3 linked regions of the Kluyveromyces lactis genome follow. The protein of the gene in region 3 interacts with the protein of the main gene of each other region in a biochemical or structural test. Links are inferred from orthologs where the notes say so. Each region holds a gene or a part of one and is shown on either strand. Other genes may lie near its edges.

Region 1 (7,773 bases), on a different chromosome or scaffold from region 3:
CTTAAAATCTATATACTATGAGGACGGATTCCATTAGCTAAGTTAAAAGAACGACGACAGAAAATGCATTACTTCGCGTTAGGACACCTGTCACTAACAAAACAAAGAATTGACAACGTATTACATCTTGCTGTGGAATATATTAGCTCAATTTTTAATCCAATCCCCGATGGTGGTGGTACTAGCTATAGATAGTGTACATGATATATAGATTTCAGTACCTTCTTCACATAGTAAGTTGTTAAGATGCTTGATCGCCTTTGAAAACTTTTTTAAGACAAGGTCCAATACCAAAATGTTACCCGAATATATTATATTGGTAAATTATTCGTATAGGGCTGGTAACTGGGAATGGCACTCCACTAAAACGATGTTCCTCATTTAGTTACTACATGCCGATGCTACCGCGAAATCATGAAGAGGTCCAGTGAACTTCGTACTGTAGTAGTATCATAGAATCGTCTTGCATTGCCGTATTCTTCTTGATTATTGATTTAGCACCGAACTGAAAGTGTAGTGTCTGGGTGGAAAGTGTAGTGTCCGGGTATCCTTGAGGCTTCCAGATATCAATTAGCTATTTAAAAATGAAAGAAACGTCAAATCAGAGAGAAACAAACTGTTGCAGTGCATAGGGGTCCACTGCGTTTAAGGTAGTTATTCGAAAAGAATCATAGCGATACCAATTGACCAGTGTGTTTCCGCTAAAAGTTCTATAAGACTTAAGGATTTGAGCATACTTTGTTATAGATAACTTGCTGAACATAGAAATTAGAATAATATGGCTGGTCCACCTCCACCACCAGCACCTCCTCCGCCTATGTTTGGCGGAAATTCATCCAATGCTGGCTCCGCTGCAACTCCTGTCCCACCCCCAGCGGCTGTTCCAGGACGTGATGCCTTATTGAGTGATATTAGGAAAGGTGCAAAACTTAAGAAAGCACACACTGTGGATAAGAGTGCACCTGCGATTGGAGGATCAAGTTCGATGAGCCACTCTGTATCAGTATCGAGCTCAGCAGTCCCGCCTGTAGCACCATCGATCCCGACTCCAACTCAGCTTCCCGGTGTCCCTCAATTGGGAGATATACTTGCTGGTGGGATCCCTAAATTAAAACATGTTTCGGGTTCCTCTAAATCACCAGCTATTCCATCTGGAGCTCCTCCGCTTCCGGATAGCTCTTCAATCCCAAAAATTCCTTCTAATAGACCACAGCGTAAAAAGACTTTGAGAAGTGAGGGTGATTCGTCAGTGGCGGCTCCTCCTGCTCCTCCTCCAATGGCAGCACCGGCAATTCCAACAAGTCCGCCACCAGTACCCATGATGAACACACCACCGGTTCCGAAACATCCTCCAGCAAGACAACGCACAGAAGCACCTCCGGTTCAAGCACAACCTGCTCCGCCTGTAACGTTACCACCTGCACCTCCAGCTCCTCCTATAGCCGTGCCACCAGCTCCGGCACCTCCAGTACCTCTAGCACCTCCCACAATTAGCACCCCTCCTGCGGCCCCACCAGCACCTCCTACGCCTGCACCTCCTACATCTGCACCTCCAGCTCCAGCACCTCCAGCACCTCCCATAATCAGTACCCCTCCTGCAGCCCCACCTGCACCTCCAAGCATATCATTCCCAACGTCCACGCCGCAACCACCACCATCTGCACCGTCCCCAGCTGGAGGACTTCCATTCCTGGCGGAGATTCAACGAAAGAGAGATGACAGATTCGTAGTTGAAGGAACAGGACATGGTGCGTCGAATAATACAGCATCTTCCGCTCCAAAGGTACCGCTTCCCTCATCATCTGCTCCTCCGGCTCCTCCTTCGTTCAGTGCTCCTTCGGTTCCACCAACTCCAGCTCCTGCTGCTCCACCTTCAATTGCTGCTCCTCCGGCCCCACCGGCTCCTGCACCTCCTGCACCTCCTGCCCCTCCTGCCCCTCCGGCCCCACCTACTCCTTCCTTTAATGCACCTACGCTGCCTCAATCTACCCCAAGTTCTGAAGCACCATCTATTCCAGCCGGAGGATTACCATTTCTGGCATCAATACAAAGCAGAAGGGATGATTCTCACATTATCGAAAGTGAGAATAGTCATACACCAGTGGGTGCGCCAACGGCTCCTCCTTCCCCTCCTCCACAAGCCGCTTCATTTCCCTCTGCCAAAGCTCCACCACCTCCACCCGCAGCCTCAGAGGAATCTCTTCAACAAAATCAGCAACCTCAAGTGGAACGCACAAATAGTTCCTCATCAAAAGGTTTCTTCAAACACAGACTTTTTTCATCTGGTAATGAAGCCAGTCGACCATCTCAATCTACTAACCCTTACACAAATGCTGCTGAAATAGATGTCGGAGATTTCACAATAGAAGGAAGTCAAGATACGACCGGAATAAAGCTGAATAACAGTGGAATAACCATTGATGATTCAAAATTCGATTGGTCTAACAGAAACGATCTCCCCAAACCGAGACAATTCTTGGGCTTAAGAAAACTATATCCAAGTGGCAGAGGTTCAAGTGTTCCATTAGATTTTACTGTATTTACATGACTTTATAATGAGTAAGAACTATATAAGATATTAATGAAAGCATTCCTAGACGAGTGGAAGAGGAAGAAGTATAACACTTAATCCCACCCATCTACCCACCTTTTCTTCCACAAATCGCAGTTGAATTTCTCCTTTCCCAATTTCTCATTAACTTCATTATGTGCCGCACAAATCCATCTACCTAAGTCGTCTTTTGAATCAACCTTGGGTGCGTTCTCTTTTATAAATAGTTCAAAGTCCTTAGCACACCACCCGCATGGATAAACATGAGAGAATATGGTCATAAATTGTTTCATTTCTTGTTTCTGTGTGTCCGATGGCTTATTCGGATACTTGGCAGCTATCGTATGTAACAAAGTCCAAGAAGAACGGCCTAGCTCTTCGACATCAGCAGGCCCAGACTTAGAGTATGTCTTAGATCCAGGAATCAACAGTGGCTGGTCAGCTGAAGTATTTGAAATATCTGTCGCGGCCCCAGCTGCTAATTCACCGGAGCCAGGAGACTGAGTGGAATCCGCCACTGGTGAAGCAGAAGAATTGCCGCTTCCCCGAGCCTTCAAAGTGCCGGTCACAAATTGAAAGTCCAACAAAGTATTGCATGAACGACAGCTAGATTGATAGTACATAAACGTTAGTAAAAGTTTTCTGAAATTCGATTATTTCGTTTCTCGATATTAGGGTTGCAAAATACGAACGGTTTTCCATCTTCATCGTAGATGATTTTTCTTCCAGACAGTCCAAATTCTGGTGTTTTAGAAGTTTCAGTACGGCTTGACATGATTCATGCAGGTTGGTTGGAAAGATTTGGTCGTATGCTTGCATCTTTATGAATTCTATTCTCTAAATTTGTAAGCATTCGAGAGATGCATTGAAATCGAAATCTTTAAATTCAGATCAAATTTATGAAGCGATGAGATAGAAGATAACATTGGATGATAACAAAGAAAAATTTCAGTACATGTATGAGATTACAGCTATAACCCTTCTTGAAAATGTATGACTCTATTTACAAACTGAAGTGGATGATACCACAAATATACCAGGTATATTACTTACTTGATGAGATAAGAGTAAGTATATAACTATTCTTTCTTATGAATCAATCTAATGCAGCTCTAGAAAATGTTGCACCAGCGTCGATTTTGAGATTTTTCAAGAAGTCTTCATTTGTTAGGGGCCTCATTTTGAGGCGACTTAGATTGTCTGTCTTTCCAGTTTCTGTCAGCTTGCGTTTCTCTTTGATATATTCTCTTGCTGCAGTAAGTGCAGCATCTCTGCATAGTTCTTTTAAATCGGATCCTGACATCTGAGATGTGCATTGTACAATGTAATCCAAATCGAAATCGCGAGGGTCTGACTTTGTATCCTTCAAAAACACTTTTAGTATTTTATGACGTTGTTGTGCGTTAGGCAATGCAACAGGGAATCTTTTAGGTAATCTTCTTAGGAATGCAGAATCGATATCATTGATCCTATTCGTGGCTCCAAGTACCATAACCTTCCCATTGGAGGTAAGACCATCCCAAAGAGTCATAAACTCGGCTTTCAACATAGATGTCACCTCATGATCTGATGAAGCACGCTGTCTTAAGAAGGAGTCAATTTCATCGATGAAAATGATACATGGTTGAATCTTGTTAGCCAAAGAAAACATGGCATCAACGATCTTATTGGATTCACCGTACCATTTGTCCATTATAGAAGACATTCTGATAGATATAAAATTGGCTCCACTTTCGTGTGCTAGTGCTTTTGCTATCATAGTCTTACCACATCCTGGTGGTCCATACAAAAGAACACCCTTTGGCGCCTCCAATAATGCACTTTCGGAGAAAATTTCCGGACTTGTTAGAGGGTAAATGACACTTTCTGTAAGTTCCTCGATAACGTCTTCTAACCCACCAATATCTTCAAAAGAAACATCGATATCTTGAGGCGTAATGACAGAAGCAAGTACGCTACGCTCGTATGCATTCAAACTGACATCATCCAATTCGGGGTTGGCAGCACATAATCTTTGCCATACTAACGATTGTCTCTCCTTCTTTTCTTTCGAGTTACCTGATAAAGGACCTCCTTCAGCCTCTGTTAGTAGTCTATTCACCAAATAGTACACTGAAATTGCAGTTCCGAAGAGAACAGATAAATCGGTAATGGTCTTTAAGTCAATTCTTGGAGCCATTTTTCCTGTAATGTAGCAAGAATGATAAAATCAGTTTTTTCCCTGGTTAATGAATGGCTTCTTATCAGAGAGCTTCTGTATATCAAACGTATTCTCCAATGGATGTAATCGCTGTTCGGTCTCGCCGTGTGACGTTGCCACTTGTTACTTGCAAGTTCAATCACTGTATGTGTTCGATTGTGTTGATTCTTTAATTTCGCAAATAGTTCAAAAAGAAACCTTTAAAAAATGTGGAACTTGAAAAATTTAGACCATGCGATGAGCTTCATGTATGTTTATTGAACAAAACCGCTATCAGCTGGGTTGGATTGGGTTACCAAGGCTTCTTTGTTCCGAAATTTACCAGTTTGATTGAAGACTGCAGCTGATATTCTCGAAAAATCATCATATTTACTTATCCTAGCTCTGTTGCTATCATTGTCAAAATAGTCCAGGGCCAATTCGAAGAGATCGTAACTAATTATTTTACTCCGAGCTCTCTTACTAGATTAGAGCAAACGTCAATTGTTGGGACAACACATTCGAGCTATGAGTAAGAAACATGCTATCAGATTACCGGGAGTGTTGTTGGATGAGCTCAAGGGTCAAAATTATGATGAAGAGGATAAGAGATATCAGTTTCCTAACGTGAAGAAAGTCCAACGCAATGGTAAAAGAAAAGCTCCTTTGAGCAGAAAAGAACAGAGAAGACAAGAACGTGAGAGTAAGAAAATAAAGAGGTCTGGAAATAATATTCAGAAAACGTCTACTTCATTGAATGTTGAATCAGCAAAGAAAGATAGACAAAATGGTTCTACAGCCGTAAAATCATCTCTTAAGAGAGAAAAAGTAAAACTTGGGATTCAAGTCAAGCCAAAACAAGTCAGATTCTCCGAGTTCAATGAGGTGAAAGAGATTTCGTCTGATGATGAGTTATCAAGTGGTGATTTCGATGATTTCGATGAAGACGATCTGAATGAAGAAGAATGGGAACAACTACGTGAATTAGAAGACAGCGACGAAGAAGAAGAGGATGACGGCGGTGACGACGATGACGATGACGATGACGATTACGATGAAGAAGTAGAAGAAGAAGAAGAAGAACCTCTTACGGCTAGAGAAACTATGGCGAAACTCAAAGCTTTAAAGGAAAAAAAGCGACAAGTGAACCCATCTGGAAGTGAAATGGCAGTTGATGATGCCCAAAATTCATCTGAAGATGATGAAATACTTAATGAAGAATACTCAGCCGATGATATGGATGATGATGAAGAGTGCGACAGTGGTTTGGAAGAAATGAGTGTAGAAGAAACAATGGCAGCTTTGAAGGCAATGAAAGATAAAAAGTTACAAGCCAAGTCTTCCAAATCTACCACCACTGGTACTGTAGAGAAAGGCTCTAATAAGAATAACAAAGAGTCTGGAAAGAAAGAACAGTCTAAATCAAAGTCTGAGATTTACAGTCCATTAACACCAGAGGACAGAGCAGCGATTGAAAGAGATGAACTGGATATGAAATATTATGCTGGCAAGTTGGGCTTGAAAAACGGTAAAAAATTGCGTGCCACAGATGAATACGATGCTATTGGAGGTTTACTAGAGGGTCTTGAGTATTTTGAAGACTTTGGAGATGATGAAAGTGGAGAGGAAAATGTAGAAGATGATAGCAATGTCTCAGACGATGGTGAAGATGAACTAATATCGGAAGATGATGAAGATGAAGATGAACAAACGGAAGAGGGACAAATCGAAAACCCATTTTCGTCTGATGATGAGTTATCAAGTGGAGACTTTGATGAATTCGACGAAGACGACTTGGATGAAGATGAATGGCAACAACTTCATGAATTAGAGGGGAACGCTCCATCATCTACACGCACGAAGCAAAAGGAGAACATTTACGCCGCCCCAGTCATCGAAGAGAATAAATCTTACGTACCACCATCCTTGAGAAGAAAACAACTTGAGGAATCTGACTCGGAGACTAACAAGGAATTGAAAAGAAAAGTTAAATCAGCTCTGAATAAACTATCAGATTCAAACAGTGCTATAATTGTTACCTCCTTGAACGAGCTCTATGATAACTATGCAAGACAATACGTCAATGATGCGATTAACAATCAGATGATCGAGGTTGTTGCACAGAAGAATAAATTATTGGACACTTTTATCATGAATTATGCTGGTGTAGCTTTCAGTATATGGAAGCTAAGGGGAACTGAAGCCGGTGCTTCCTTTATTCAAGCATTGGTCCAGAAATTCTTAGAGATTTATAGTGAACAGATACAGTCGGCTAGAAATTCAAAATCAGACGAGCCAATAATGCTGTCTAAGGAAACGACTAATTTGCTGACTTTGCTGGGCTATTCCTACAACTTCGGGCTAGTTTCCAGCAGACTGATATATGATATCATCAAGCTATTAATTCAAGAACCCAATGAATATACAACCGAACTTCTGTTAAGGATCATCTCTGTTTGCGGCCCTTTGATACGTGGTGATGATCCCAGAGCTCTAAAGGATATAATCACGGAACTATTGGCCAACGTTAAACAGATGAAGCAAACTCCAAGGCTAAACTTTTTGTTGGAAACTCTGTCCGATTTAAAGAATAACAGGTTAAAGCCTTCAGTTCTTGCTGCCAATCATCAGACTTTAAAAAAGGGAATTTTGGGATCACTTCGCATCTCAACTTCGGCATCTTCGGAGCCTTTGCTGGCTTCTCTAGAAGATATAAAAAACGTGGATTCTAAAGGTAAGTGGTGGTTAATTGGAGCATCATGGAAGGGTAATCAAGAAACTGCTTTCGATGAGGCTAATGTCAAAGAAGACAGAACGATTGCTAATCAAACAAATATAAAATTGGATGATGATTTACTCTCTGAAATGATTGATTGGAATGAGATAGCGAAACAACAGAGGATGAACACTGATGTGAGAAGAGCTATATTCGTTAGCATAATGTCTGCAGAGGATTATTTGGATGCATTCGCTAAGATAGAAAAGCTGAACTTGAAGAGTAAACAGAGTCTTGATATTTCACGGGTGCTGCTACATTGCTTGT
Region 2 (7,564 bases), on a different chromosome or scaffold from region 3:
CATGGTTCCAGTGGGTTGTTTTTAATTCCTAATATCAGTCAAGTGTGCCTCTATTTAAGTAGACCGGACTGTACCGTCAACATTTCGGCCCCTTATTTGAACTCACACGGTGAATCAGGAAGAAACGCTATCGAACGAGGTGATCTAACAGTATTAAATCATGCTAGATATGAACATTTAACTCGTCTTTGGATTTCAAATGGTATCCCCGGTTATATCAGCCGAGTAATGGGGGACGAATTCAGGGTTGCGATGGCAAATAACCGAACATTTACGAGGAACATGTTTTGGAGACCTGGTGCTGCTTTCAACGCTGGTGGGGAGAGCAGTGACGAGGACCTTATGAACGATGATGAGTTTGGGAATGATGATCGTCCAGATCTAAGGTTTAGACAGCCTGATGTTGAATTACGCATCAATGGTGGACCATTCGGTGGAGATATCCCTATAAGATTACCAACCGAAAGAGGTGACATACATGATTTTTTCGAGTTTGTTCAAAACATGAGAGGGGGTATGCAAGGTGATGGCGCAGACATTCCGACTACAGAAGATATCATTGAACAACTGCAAGGAAATGCAATGAATGGATTCTTCGGCCGTGCAGATAGAAATAGAGAGCACTTTGAACTGAATGATCAAAGTGACGGCAATGAAGATGGTGAGGACGAAGAGCACGAAAACAACGCTTCGGAAGATCAAGACACGGAATACAGTTCTGCAGAAGAAGGTTTTGATTTCAACGAGTTAAATAACGTAGAATGAATAACTTTTTGCTCGTCACACCTCAAAATTGCCTTAACCTTATGGCACCATTCACAACTTCAATGTACCAAATATATATAGAATAGCACGTTATTTCGTTTATGCACACATCGATATAAGATATTTTTACTAGTTTTGCATAAATCTGCAATATGTGGAGTGGACTGACCACAGGATACTATGCCGTCCAATATCTTACAGAATCTTTTATTGTAGCCTGACTCTGTCCCACCCTTTGATAATTCATGTTGAAAGTACTCCCAGTACTAGACTTTTGCACGTGATTACTTCTGGATATCATACCATACGACCCAATTATATCCGAGTACGGAACTTTTCTTCAAATTTTTGAAAAACTGGATAAATGTATAAAACGGAAAGCTAACTTCGACTGATGCCAAAGACAAGGTTTAATAAGAAAAAGTTCAGCTCAACAGAAACCAGAACTCCCGTTTTAGAAATGGTATGTTAATGATTTGATTAGTCATGGATAATACATATGATATGCGTCTTTTCTGGATCTGAAAACATTGATTTTGGCGTAGATGTCTTATTTGACTTCTGGAATTGAGAAACCGAAAACTGGGAACTGAAAAAACTGTTTGTAAACACGATGCAAATTACATTGAGCAGATGCTAATGTACAATTATACTATTATTAGTGAAATATACTTCCAAAGCTGAATGTCTGCATATCCCGTGGTGTTTCCGATGCCTGTTAAGGTTCCCTGGAGGTATGACCGATATCTCCATATAATAGAAAGGCAGTCTCAATACTACATTTATCTTCGAAGTACGACCATGGCTTATCGCATGTATATCAGTTACATCAAACAAGTGAAGAATGGACACCTTCTGGGCAAAATCCAGCGGCTGTTTTCCCAGATCATTGCGGATTGACTACATGAAATATTAGATCATATTACTAACAATTATTTTTCTGAACAACTTAATTATCACAGTCTTTCGCCTCTACTCTGTACAAAACTGTCTTTAAGAGAAACTCTGTTTTCGTTGGTACCGTGTTCGCCTCTGCCTTCGTTTTCCAAGCTGCCTTCGATACTGGTGTGACCTCTTGGTACGAAAACCACAACAAAGGTAAGTTATGGAAAGATATCAAGGGTGGTATCATGAACGGTGGTGAAGAAGATGAAGAAGACGATGAATAAGTTTCTTTTGACATTTGAATTATATCATTTCTCATCATTATACTTTTAAGTGTCTTTTCATTGATGCTTTTGTTCAATTATTTTACTTCTTAGAATATACCGTCACTTCAAAACATATTTTAAAAATGTGGATACGCTACTGTCGGGAAACATTTATCTATCCGGCACTCCATACGTCTACCAGGCCTAGGACATCAACTTTGGAATGATGTTCTCAGATTTTCATAACATTCATCCTTTTCGCTATCGGAATCTCACTCGATTCAAGAGATAAAAAGGGTAAAACATATATGACCATAAAGCGTGAATATCTGCGCATTGATGTTCATCTTATTTGTTGTTAGCTGTTTTTCCCTCTACTCCTATTTATTTTCAACTCACTTATTTGAAATCTCATCAATCAATCACATATGCGGCTCAATTGTATTTAAATACAATGTATTGTTTGTGCTGTTTCTGTGTATTAATCATGTCTATACGATAATAAAAAAGAATTACCCATTATTTGTGTACCAATACCGTACTTTTGTTTATATATATATACCTGAATTTATTCGACGGGTATGAAATAGCATTCATAATGTATGATTATACGTAAGACGCGAATATAACATTATACAAATCTATATACATGTAGCTTGTAATGAATCAGAGCATTAAATAACTTCTTTTATCTCAAAAGTTGCGCCCCTTAGATTTCACCGTTAACCGAAGCTTGCTGAATTCTGTTAATGTAAGCCTTTGAAATGGCATTCCAACTTCTCATATATTTAGCCAAACATTGGTCGACGCAGTTATCTTGAGAAGCAGCATATGGAGCATTCAGACATTTCTCAAAACAGTTCTCAGTGACTTTGTTAACTAACTCGGTAGCATTGGCGATGGCTAATTCTTGAGAGATTTGAGATTTAAGTTGGGTCTTGACATCGCTAGGACTGGATGTGGCTGGGGTACCAGATGATGAAGAGCTACCACCAAAGATCGAAGTTAAAGCCATATCTTAATGTGTTCTATGATAGATTATTGATCCGATGCAATGTTCAGAGGGGCCTGGATGATAGATTATAGCTGTTAATTGTAGATTGCCAATGGATATTTCAGTTTATGCTAAAGCTTCAAATCATTAGTTTTTTTTTTCAATATGAGGAAGAAACATTCCTTCACATCGAGCAGCAATGGAAGGGATAGATAACTATTGTTTCAGCCCGTTTCACAACCTCTCCTTTCCTGCGATTTACCGCGTTATTGGAAGATATGTTTGGAAGTTCCCCAGAGTGATTTACTTACTAATATGAACCACTGTCCAAGTACTTGTCACACGGAGCATATATGTAGTCGCATGATTATCATTACGTTACTGTACCCCAAACTTAGTACAACAGACATCAACAAATACTAGGCATCGGTGGTTTAGTGGTAAAATCCAACGTTGCCATCGTTGGGCCCCGGGTTCGATTCCCGGCCGATGCATTCTTTTTCATTATTCAATAATTTATTGAGCACTCAATTTTTTTATCAAGCGTTGCTACCTATTTCATAAACTGAATCCACTATAGCATTTCGATTCATTCAATGCAAATTCAATAGTATCGGTAAGGTTTCACTAACGGCTCTCGATGTGTTTCTTACTCGTTTTCTTTTATTGTACAGAAAACCCATCTTTACAATTCTCAGCATGAATCCAACATTTGAAAATCGAAAGTGCCAATTCAATTGAAATAAGTTAAAATGATGATGAGAAGTTACAAGTATATTTTGCGAAGAATAGTAGATAGATATCATTGAACAAGGTAGTTCAATAACTTGCCTTTGATAACAGACAAGCACAGACCAATTGGCAACGGCCAGTCATGATTCATGCAGTATTAATATGTATGTAAAGTGTTACCAAGCAATACCCTAGAAATCAAGCTTTACTAACATTTAATGATGATCCAAATGCAACAGTTAACAAGAAATGTCAACCAAGATTGATAAAATTTTATACACCTGTAGAGGTTGAAAAGCAAACGCTTTTATTACAGCAAGTATATGAACTTATATCTCAGCGTAACAGTCAGGTGCAGTCATCTTTCTTAGTAACTCCTCCATCTTTATTAATGGACTCAGGTGATAACGAAGATATTCAAATCATATACAAGAACTACGCCACGTTATACTTCACATTTATAGTTGATGAACAAGAATCAGAACTAGCAATCTTAGATTTGATTCAAACGTTTGTAGAGGCATTGGATAAATGTTTCGAAGAAGTGAATGAGCTAGACTTAATCTTCAATTGGCAAACATTGGAAAGTGTACTTGAAGAGATTATCCAAGGTGGATTGGTGATAGAGACCAATGTAAGGAAAATCGTAAGTGCTGTAGATGAATTGAATAACGCTAATGAAAGTGAAAATTCTTTCACCAAACTAGCAGGGAATCGAATCTCTGAGGCGTTCCAGGCGTTCAGTTATTCAAATTTCAGTGCTTGGGGGTCACATCAATGATAAATCAGAAAATAACCCCGCTATCTTAACGCCAATGTCATATTAATGTTGATAGGCCTTGCAGCATAATAGTTAATAGTGGATTATAATAATATCATATGAATAAATAAAGTCGAAACTCATGGAAAAATTATATACACTCCATTGATTTCGAAAACAACGATAAATAATATCTACAGGCGGTTAGTAAAGTAACTTTCAGATAACCGATTCATCAACGTGGATGGATTGGTTTCCGCCATAAAGTTTGAGGAAAAAATAATGCAAATTGAGCTCTAAACTCGGTTTCGAGAGAAATCCGATATCGAAACGTAGAATACCAGCATTTACCACAGACTCCACCAGCTCTTTTTGGAAACGATCATATCTGTTTGGTCCAGACTCTCCATTCTAATCTTATCCAATTCCTGTCTGATCCGTTCCAACTCTTCCTTCTGAACTTGATCTGCCTTCAATCTTTGGAACTGGTCCTTAGTGGCTTGAGTTCCATTTCTTTCCCATGGTGAATCGACCGTTCCTGTTTTCCAAATAGGATCTTTACTCTTCATGGTTTGCTGTACAACTTTCATTAGTTCTTGCTGCTCAGCTTGACGTAGATTCCTCTCTCTCTCATACTGTAGCCTCAACTCCGGTGATAATGCTTGAAGGAGTTGCTCATCGGTTGGTGTTGTATATTTGAATAAAAGCACACCAGTTAATATAATACTGCCTCCTGCAGCGAAAACTTTACCCCAGCGTAAAAAACCCGAAGACTCCATGCTAAAAAATAAATAAACGTGATAAATGCAACGCTTCACTGGTGTGATACGGCTCTTAACTGTCTCATCAAGAGTGTAAACTCAGCGTTGCTCCACATCTCTGTCTACTTTTAAAGGTTAGCTCCGTTATAATTACTTTTTCCAGAGGCTTTAGCCATAAGCTAATATGTGCGGGTAACAACTAACATATATATACAAATAATCACCGTTAGTGGTTTGAAGAAGCGCAACGTAGGACAGCTTTGTCGAGAGAACATGGATTAGTACAGCCCATGAAGGAGTCTGTAGGCGGATAGAACAAGCGAGATTATTACGGTAAAAAACTACAGGTGGTGTGGCCCAGGAGTTGCTTACTACACACATGTATATATTAAAATTGAATAAGTTAGTATCCTCAACATCTCTGTCAGATGCGTTCATCACATGTATAGATAAAAGCGAAGGCAAAAAAAAGTCATTATGAGAGAATGTAGGATCAAATAATCTGAAGCTACTTTTTTACTCTCAGAAGTCTATTATTATCATTAGTTTATATTTCTATCTTTGAATTTCTTTGGCGGATGGATTTCAGCAACCACATTAACCTATCAATTCTTTGAACAAGTAAGGAGTAAACACTTTTGCAGCTGTAAATAGGATAGCAAATGCCTCTAATAATGCCAGAGGGGATCCCAAAATGCCTCTTTCTTGGAAGTTAACATATATGGAGTACAATGCCACTGAGAAAAACACCTTGGTCAACAAGAACGGTTTTGGAAGAACACCAGCCAAGAAACTTACTGGCAATCTAATACAGTCTCCACCTCTTTCGAAATATTTGAAACAACCTCTTTGTAATACTTGTAAGTTTCTGTTGTCTGCAGCAAACAATGAGTATAAAGCGATGGATAGTACATTGATGACACTGTCATATTGCTTTCTTTCGAAATGGTATTCTAGTAATTCATCAAGGACAGTCTCTCTGTCTGAGAAATCTAAATCACCAACAGTCTTGATTAGTAGAGCAACGTCGTTCAAGCCAACAGCCATCCCACCACCAGTCAAAGGATGTCTCATATTCAAGGCATCTCCGATGACGCATAATCCGGTGACAGTATTTTGCTTTGCTGGTAGGTAAGAGTTTGGCATTGATCTGAATTTACCATCTTCAACCGCTTTATCAAACGATGGCAACAAAGATTTAGGTAAGTATGGTTTAACATCAGTAGTCAACCACGACTTTATATCTTTAGGTAGTCTTGCTGAATTGTATGCACATAGAATTCTTGTTTCTTCAGAGGAGATTTGATATACGAGCACGGGCATATGTGAAGTACCTAGAATAACATGACCATGGTTCTTCGATGGAATGTTTGCATGGAACAAAGACATACCGACGAAAGAGGATCCAACAGAGGGGATATGATCTGGGGAGAGCTCTTTTCTAAAGCGAGAAAAGATACCATCACATACAAAAGTCAAATGTGCTTTGAAGTCTTCTTTACCACGACCTGGGATTTCGACCTTAGCACCAACTACTTCGTTTTCTTTGCTTCTCAAGATCTCAATGACATTACCTTGGAGGCGGGTCACATTTGGTTCTTTGGCAACAATATCTCTTAAATTCTGTAAGAACTTACCGTGAACGAAACCAACACCTCTTTCCCTGTCGTCATCTTCGAAATCCTTGACATGAACGGTTTTATCTTCAATAACTCTATCATTACCATCGAAGACTAAATCCGATATTTTCTCTACTGGTGCTGTATCGGCCTTGTAAGGGTATGGGATTGAAACTTTCTCACCATTGTAGAACACAGAGTAGCCAGTCACTGGGATAGCATCAATATTATTGATGGCTTGAATCATACCGAGGCTTCTCAATGCCCGCAAACCACCAGGTTGCATTAGTTCACCAACAATACGATCTGGCATAGTCCAATCTCTTTCAACAATCAACACTTTCTTACCCTTTCTTGCAAGTCCTGTTGCAATACATGGACCTACGACACCACATCCAACGACAATGGCATCATAGACAATTTCTGAGCTAGCACTAAGGAGCTCCTTAGGAATAGCTTTAACGTCAACAGAATCACTCATAGCGTTTTGAATATAAACAGGCGCTCTTTGTCCCGTTTAGAATATGACCAATATTGAGCCGTTCGCAACCTTTAGTTGATGCTGGTAACAATTGACAAGTCCAATAAATAAATAAAATCACAATCGAATGGTACGAGTAAGGTATCAAATGAATTCAAAATACCTAGCCCTTATATTTATACAACTGAAAGCGAAAAGCGATAATCACTGTATATGTATTCTCAATTCCTAGTTTTCTCTTTCTGGAACGAGCACTCACGAATATCCGTCAAGCTGCACAAATCGTTTATTGATAATCCTC
Region 3 (8,375 bases):
ACCTTCCTTGGGGTTACCTAGTTTACACAATGCGGTGGCAGACACATAAAATGGAACACCGACTTTTTCACCTAACATTGTAGTGGAAGTGTCAACTTCCTTAACGTTAACCAAGATTCTTGGCTTGAAGAATATACGATGGTATGCAGCGTGGTTTTCTCTATGTGTAACTTCATCATCAGCGGCAGAAGAGTAGTAAGACCAAGCTTGCTTAGTCAAGATTTGGGATGCCAAGAATTCGAAATCATAGATGTTAACCAAGGAATCAATATCGGGTAAAGATTGACGCAATTGTTCCTTTCTTGCCACATCTTCGGGAGTTTCACCTGGGGTCAATGCAGCACAGACCAAGTCATCAGGCATTGTACCATCTAGTGGACCAATTCTGTTCTCTGGAGCAATGTATTTTTCGATGACATCTGGAGCATGAATTGGAGCAAAGATCTTGGTCACATCTTTTCCTGCGTTGTTCTCAATGATAGCTGGACCACCAGGATGGGCGCTGATGAAATCAGTCAAATTGTATACGTAACCCTCAATGACCACCCAACAGTCTTTGGGAGAAGAGTGCTTTGCGACTTCTGTTGGAGAAACCTTTGGTTTCGTCATATCGACCTTGGCACCATTTTCAACGCTATCATTGAATTGAGAAATCAATGCAATACCAACCGAACCGGCAACAAGAAAGGCACCACCAGTGATGACTTTCTTACCGAACGAAAACGCACTATAGCCAGACTTAGCTGATCTCCCAAAACGCAGAGTAGCACTAGACTTATGAATTGGAGATTTACTACTGGTGCTAGCAAATCTCAACCCACTAACACGGTTCTTACCAAAAACTCTTACGGCTGATCTCATAGTAATGACGATGTTGATACCTAGGGGCTTTGTTTTCTGATTAAAGATTATACCAAACAAATTTAACCTCAACCGCACTATAACCAATTCCCAACTGCGACATAGCTCTACTTATATATATATATATATATATATATATGTTATCTATTGTCTATTACATCTGCATTAAACTCGAACTAGTCATTTTCGTCAACAGCAAATATCGGGCCAACTCTTCGCAAACTCCAGAAATGAATGCCTCTTTCTCTAGTGTGGGATAAAACGCTAAACAGTTTCCACATTCGTGGGTCACATTGAGTTGGAACAAGCGGATCTTCGGATTACCAAGGACGCTTGATCAGTAACAGTACCCCAAGGCTATTTTCATTGACGCACTGGACGTCAACCATACTGTAATTGGTATATATTTGGAATTATATCGGTATAAAAATTGCACGCAACCCACGCGCAATGAGGGAACCCCATTCTCATTCGGCTTTCTGGATGTTCTCTATGGGTCCTGTATTCCCTCAATGTAGGCAAAATTCACTACGCAGTTGCCAGCCGAACAGTTGGAGATCTAAGGTCAGATGGGTCAACAAACCTGCAATAGCGTAGGGAGTCGTAGCAGACGGTAGATAGAACAGTGAAGTGTTCCATAGCTTGACATAGAACACGGAAAACGGTAAAAAGGACGTCTCGAGAGGTTTGCGCATGCATAACGGCATTTTGAACTGAAAAAAAAATTGTAGCGTGGGGAGAAAGCAGACAGGGTGGGTCGGAGAACAGGAAACAGGGCCCGAACTATACCATCGATACGCTAACGATGAGCTTGAGAAAAGCGAGATTCGGAGTGACTTTTGGAGCTGCTGTTTACCTCCTGTATATTATGTGTTTGGGGGGGATAACGCTGTGAGTAAGTACTCCGAATTTAACAGGCAGATAACGTAATATCAGGTGAGCAGGCAATGGTCGGTCTTGGACCTTATGGTATCTTGGACAAAAGACAGCGTCCAGCAAGTAGACTCCGTGGCCAAGCTGGTTAAGGCGTGCGACTGTTAATCGCAAGATCGAGAGTTCAATCCTCTCCGGGGTCGTTTTTTTTGGAGAAAATTTCTTTCAAAATTGATCCGCTGCCCGTACTCAGCCAGATGATGATAGATAAATCAGACCCTAGTGGACAGGAAGGAACGAAAGGCTGATCAAAGGTGGCGGTCAAAACGCCGGTGAAACCTTACTATTACTTTATTTTGATTACTATTATGCTTAATACTCGTAGCAAGGGCTATATATGATCAGGCTGGCCATGTTTTGGCCTCTATTTCAAATCCGTCTACATAACTATACAGCACGAATTGGTTTTCTTTGCTTGCTTATAGAACATCCTCGATGCAGCAGATAGTGATTCGGACTTGTCTACCAAATTGTCCAATTTCTCACCTCTTTGTAATACGTTTTCAATGGTTTTGTGTAGCGTGATCTTGGTCTCGTCTAATTCTTGCTGTACACGCATTATTGCATCAGCTTGAGATGGGTCCTGATACTTGGCAATATAGATATCCAACTCCTTCAACTTGAGCGAATCGTCACTCTCCGTCACGTCCTTCCACTGGATAGGAGGGTGCGCTACCAAATACTCATCCAATACTTTGTTCAACAACGTATAAGCTGGTCTTACTGGGTACTCCTTATCCGTAATCAAAACACCACAAATTCCTTCAGGCCTTGCGTAAACGTGACCTACATAGTTACCTTCTTCAACACTCTGTCTTTGACCAGCACTTGTCCTGCCAGCAACAGTCTCACTGAAAAAGGACATGAACTGTGCAACACTGTTCCTTTCAAAGAACCCAAATTGTGATAAGTCCTTCACAGAACTTAATTCAAGGGTCTTATCATCGCTGTTTCTTAAAACTCCAATGTAATATATCTTCATCCTTGTATCCTGTATCCTGTTTTCTCCCACTTGTCAAATGAGAAAAAAAGCTACTATTTTGCCCAAACTTAACTATTCTTAGATCCCCTATACGTGTACTATAACACTGTCCTTCTCGTCTCCGTGTTATCTTCAAAATACATCATCATTTCCCATCCTCATATCACAATGCTTCAATATCCATTTTGTTTGATATTCGAATTTTTCTTTTTTTTGCTAACAAAGGCATTTTCAATTTGTCAAAGGAACATTTAAAAGAGAAGCTGATTGATACCCACAACGGGAGGAAAGAAATTTGCTTTTAGTTAGGTTTGGTATTTTTACAGTACACTTAGAAAACGTTTGAAAGTTGCTGACGAGTCAATTGATTATAGGCATATACATATTTTTTTGAAGACAATGTTCCGTGTTTCTTTACAAGCTACTAGACGTGTTGCTTTTAGATCCGCTAGACAAATTAGGTTTTACAGTGCTCATCCACCTTCCGGTGGAGTGAGCCATATGAACAAGCCAGCATTGTTGTTGGCTGGGTTCAGTACTCTTGGTGCCATCTACGTTGCTGATGGGTGTCCTACTTTGATTGAGAGGAAGCCTGCTCCTGCTGAGAAGCCTGCTGAAGAGACTCCTGCAGCGGGCCAATCACAATCTATTTCTGAACCTACGAAGGATGCCGATGAATCTCCGGTGTCTGCTCAGGAGGAAGGTGCTGAGCCAGTTACTACTCCTGAGAACGAGATTACTTATAGCGAGGAGACACACCAGGCCTTAGCAGCCACCTTATCAGGAGATGAGCCAGCTGCCATTGAGCCAGTTGCTGAATCCGTCAATGAACAAGCTACCGAACCAGCTGCCAGTGGAGAAGCCACCAATGAACCTGTTACTGGCATTTCCGAGGATACCAAAGCTCCCTCTTTGAGCTTCGATGACTCAAAAACTGCCAAGGGTGTTGTTTTAGAAGATGAAGCTGACAAAAAGGAGATTCAACAAACAAGCCCAGATGCCGTAAAAACCGCCTCAAAAGACGGTTCAGAAGGTGAATCGGATGTTGTTTTGCATGAAAAATCTCCTGCTGAAGCTGAGACCATAACAGAAGCAGAAGAGCAAGCTGAAATTCGGTCTATCTCCGGTGGCACTGCTGAACAGTCCGCTACTGCGGCTGCTGCGGCTGCAGGTGTTCAAGGTGAAAAAAAAAACGAACAACAAACTGCATACAACCCAGAAACTGGTGAAATCAACTGGGATTGTCCTTGTTTAGGTGGTATGGCATACGGTCCTTGCGGTGAAGAGTTTAAGTCCGCTTTTTCATGTTTTGTCTACTCTGAAGCTGATCCAAAGGGTATCAACTGTGTTGAGAAGTTCTCCACTATGCAAAATTGTTTCAGAAAATACCCAGACTATTATGCTGAACAAATCAAGGATGAAGAAGAAGCTTCTGCAGAAGCTTCAAAAATCGAGGATAAGAGCACTACCCCGGTTTCAACTGCCACCTCTACTGTTGAAGTACAAACTGAAAATGCCGTTTTCGAACCTGTCTTGGAAAAATATGTGGAAGAAAACCCTCAACTAAAGGATACTCCTGAAGCTGCCGCTGTCACGAACACTGACGATGAAAAGAAATAGAATCTTCCCGACCCTGAACTGCTGCCGTTAAAGATACTTTTTTAAATTTGCCAATGAGCATCATGAATTCTGACGTTTGAACAAAGATAATAAAACTAAAGCTAAAGAAATTAAAAAAATTACGTGGTTCCCTTGTTTGTGTTATATCCAATTCAAATAAAAGCCCATGGCTCTCGTAATGAACTGACCTGTTCATCGAACTCGCCTTCTTTGTCCAATAAAAAAAAAATTAACATACATTCTTATTACATTCTACAATTCCATTCGACATAATGGCAATGTGAAAACGAACAAAAATCCAATGAAATGTTCTGATAGCGTGTATAAACACTACATAAAGACATTTTCCTAATGATATGCCATGCTTATTCTGTTTTCAAATTAGATCCAGTAATTGGTAGAGAAAAATTGGCTCAAATCTTGATTCTGTTCTGTTTCTCCTTTGTAACCATAAAATATCTCCCATAAGGACTACATTTACTCTTTTATTGTTATATTTACTCACAGTGAATACCGGAGCTACCTTCTCTTTGCCAAATATATTAATTGAGGCAGTATCATTATCAGTTTTTCTGAAGGATAATCCATGATCATGACAAAAAGTTTCTACAACAGTTTTAAAGGTGGTAGAAATTTTGGTCATGGGTGTATTGTTAAAAGCGTTGAACCTGGATTCCGACTGGCCAGTGCTTTCAATTAAACTTTTCAAGGAAAGCCGTTCGTCATGGTCCGAAAGTGTTGACGGATGATCGACAAAGTCAAGAAGTTTCTTCACTTCTTCTACATTATCTAATGAAGATGCAGTGTAAATTCTATTAATCATGTATTTTAGCCATGAAGAAGCTTCATAACGGAAGGTGCTGCTCTTAAACACAAACCATTGGAATAAGGTCTTTAATAGCGAGTTGTTAATGACCTTATATACTTTATTCCTGGTTGGCAAATCGAAGAAATCATTATATTCTTTCAACACATCAATAATAGCTGAAATGTAAATTTCATTCTCTGCATCGGTAAATTCGTCAATCAGGTGAAAGTGTGAATCGAAGTAATCAGCGAAAGATGAAAGCCAATACCTGTTGACTAATTCATAAAACTTGGAGTCACCCACTGCCTCCTTCAAGAGAATAACGTTTTGAGGGTTAACAGTCATTGAAGGTTCCCAATTTTTCAAAAACTGCTCGAACTCCAGCAGGATAAGTGCTTTTAATGACTTTAAATCCCTTTCTCCCAAAATGAGATGCAACTCGCCGTATGTCACCATGAATTCATCTGACAGAAATTGAGGAGAAAGTTGTATTTCGAGAGCCGGCATAATGTAGCGGGAAAGGAAGTGTTCCCTGCAGCTAATAAAGTCAATAATAGGTAAATACTGAACGGTTATTTGACGTAGCATCCTCGAATATCCGGTATTTGAATCTAACCAATAACATAAGGGTTGATACACCAACCTATAAATGCTGCTTTGTGTTTCGTTCAAAATATATCCAGATTCCATTCTATATGAAAGAAACCTTATTGCTGCCCTCAAATGGTTCAACTTTTCGACCTGCATATCTGCCGTATTAATTCCACGATTAAGCTCTTTGAGCAAGAACATGGTACAGAGCTTATCAAGTATGTCATCGTCATTTATTTCTAGGCATTCAGTAATCTGATCTTCAAGACTTGGTTGCGAAAGTTGTTTTTCCTTGACTTTTTCTAAAACACTTTGTAGCCTTTCCTCTTGGTGTACTTTGCGCTCGTCATCTAGTTGAGCTTTTTCCAAGCCAACTTGTATTCTATCTATGTCCGAATGAAGCTGCAGAAGCTTATTAGCAATTTCATTCAAAGAGGAAATCTCTTCTTCATGTAATTCAGAACCATTGATTGTTCTTGTCACCGTATCAGGTAGTTCTATTTTTAATTCCGCAAGGAGACTTATATTTTGAATCAATTTCTCAAGCTGGGTGGCACGACGAGTCTTAAACTCCACTGTTTTCTTTTTATTTGAACTTTCATCTGATGATGCTGAAGTATTACTATAGTTGGAGTCATCTCTATCATGTACTGCACTTAACATCCCTAATCCGACACCTTTAGGACGAGTGACTGTTTCGATTGGGTTCACTATACCTTTCCCATCTCGTCCTAAACCTTCACCTTGTTTGTAACCCATTTTTGATAAAAGCTTGGCACCCATACCATAGGTCTTTAACATCTGGTCGCTTTTCAATCCATCATTGGAGTTGGCTTGTCGTACCGGTTCATAGTCTTCTTCTTCTTTTTGTTCTTCATTGTCATCGCTATATCCATATGGATCGGTAAATACCATACTATTCATTGTCATACTGATCTTTCTTCTTTTGAACTGATCATCGTCACTGATATGTTCTGACATCTATACTGAATCACTGGAGTAGTAATAGCTGACTTGGAGTGACTGATACTCCTTTCAATCTTTACTCCGATTAATAGGTATTTATTCATACTTTGAAAAGATTTAAAGGTTTGAAGTTCAGTCTTCGAAGTGAAATTGACCGTTTAAGGGTTTCAAATTGGAAACGTTGAAGAGATGAAGATCTTTCGGTTGATCTGAACTGCGTCTACAAGAAATGAGTGATGCTGCAACTACTATACCCAGTGATGAGATAGATAAATTGTGGAATAAGGCGAGAAACCAGCTTGTGGAAGCTCAAGTCGAATGTGAAGAATCATTAAAAATCCTCTCTAAAGTGCGAACTGAAATGGACAGCTCTCAAAAGTCCAGATTTAAACTTAAATTTATACTTAATTGTTTGGTGAACCAGGTTGAGTTCTTCAAGAATATCATGCTCGAGAAATGTATTTCTACAGAGTTGATTGACAATGAATGGTCAAAGCTGGTTTTAGTCGAGATAGTCAATGACGTGAGTTATTGGCAAAACGAGATAACAACAAAGATGAAGATCTTGCAGGGTACAAAATACGACTTGACTGACGATCACAGTAGCCTTTCAGATTTCATATGCATGGATCACGTAGACATACTACAACAAAAAATCGATGAGATTCCTATTATAAAACAACAAGTGACAAACATACGACAACACTACAAATCGATAAAAGATCGAATAGAAAACCAACTAGTGGCTGTAAAGTTGAAAAAACTCAGAACTTACTTTGATTCACATTTCAGCAGGGATAGCAAAAATAATCTATTCAAATTGTTGGAAAGTGATTATGTCACTGAATTGAACGAATTTGAGAATGAACTTGCCGATTTCTTGAGATCAATCACTGATCATTTCGACAAATGCACGATATTGAAGGAACAGCAGATTCCACTACCAGATTTGAAGGAACTTTTCCAGATTGTAAAGAAAGACGATACACAGTTAGAAAATATAAGGGAATTAGTATTCGAAACGGGACTTGAAGTGAAAGCTTTCTCAAAGAAAGTCAATGAAACAATAAGTGAAATAATGGACAAAATTGGTGGATTCCATCTGCTGGCTTCCAAGATTGTGACAGAGTTAGAAAAATGTGAGGAATACTTATCTATCTTCCAAAAGATTGCTAATTTAGTATTCGTTTATAAGGAATCTTGCATAAAAAAGATTGAACAAGTGCAACAACTCTGTGAGTTTTACGATAAGTTCAAATTAGGGTATAAAAACCTTCTACGAGAAAGAGACAGACGGAAAGCCACTGCGTTACAAATGGAGAAAATATTAAAGGAATGTCAGGAGAAACTACAGGCACTGAGTGATGCTGACTTGGACCAACGCCAGCAATTTTTACTTGAAAATGGTGACTATCTTCCCGAAAACATCTGGCCAGGTTATATCGACGATATGGAATCGATGTATAGTTTCGAATATAGCATACATAATGTACCGAATTGACGGTATTGTGTTATTATTGATACATAAGTATACATATTTACAGGTATAAATTATCTTTTACATCGTTATGGTTAACATTACTTTCTGTGGTTCAAAAATTGCAAGGTATCATT

What was found. The genes of interacting proteins can lie anywhere in the genome.
Region 1: the proteins of MIA40 (region 3) and ERV1 form a complex in vitro, tested with the Saccharomyces cerevisiae proteins (9 studies listed by BioGRID, with this or other methods). The link is inferred for Kluyveromyces lactis from reciprocal best matches to the Saccharomyces cerevisiae genes MIA40 and ERV1.
Region 2: the proteins of MIA40 (region 3) and TIM13 form a complex in vitro, tested with the Saccharomyces cerevisiae proteins (2 studies listed by BioGRID). The link is inferred for Kluyveromyces lactis from reciprocal best matches to the Saccharomyces cerevisiae genes MIA40 and TIM13.

The regions. Positions count from the first base shown.
Region 1 is NC_006038.1:537,761-545,533, forward strand, and holds ERV1 (flavin-linked sulfhydryl oxidase), read right to left. Parts: upstream 3,327-7,773; coding exon 3,244-3,326; intron 3,158-3,243; coding exon 2,626-3,157; downstream 1-2,625. Other genes in the region: VRP1 (Vrp1p), read left to right, coding at 779-2,548; protein-degrading AAA family ATPase MSP1, read right to left, coding at 3,648-4,730; SGD1 (Sgd1p), read left to right, coding at 5,259-7,773. UniProt on the Saccharomyces cerevisiae protein: FAD-dependent sulfhydryl oxidase that catalyzes disulfide bond formation. Required for the import and folding of small cysteine-containing proteins in the mitochondrial intermembrane space (IMS).
Region 2 is NC_006042.1:1,403,657-1,411,220, reverse strand, and holds TIM13 (protein translocase subunit TIM13), read right to left. Parts: upstream 2,932-7,564; coding exon 2,626-2,931; downstream 1-2,625. Other genes in the region: E3 ubiquitin-protein ligase UBR1, read left to right, coding at 1-765; QCR9 (ubiquinol--cytochrome-c reductase subunit 9), read left to right, coding at 1,160-1,228, 1,728-1,934; APS3 (Aps3p), read left to right, coding at 3,785-3,806, 3,882-4,423; CBP4 (Cbp4p), read right to left, coding at 4,750-5,181; ERG1 (squalene monooxygenase), read right to left, coding at 5,761-7,263.
Region 3 is NC_006040.1:226,391-234,765, forward strand, and holds MIA40 (Mia40p), read left to right. Parts: upstream 1-3,175; coding exon 3,176-4,396; downstream 4,397-8,375. Other genes in the region: CYB2 (L-lactate dehydrogenase (cytochrome)), read right to left, coding at 1-861; palmitoyltransferase YKT6, read right to left, coding at 2,174-2,776; mRNA splicing protein SPP382, read right to left, coding at 4,773-6,776; protein kinase regulatory subunit ATG17, read left to right, coding at 6,991-8,262; threonine--tRNA ligase MST1, read right to left, coding at 8,371-8,375. UniProt on the Saccharomyces cerevisiae protein: Required for the import and folding of small cysteine-containing proteins (small Tim) in the mitochondrial intermembrane space (IMS). Forms a redox cycle with ERV1 that involves a disulfide relay system.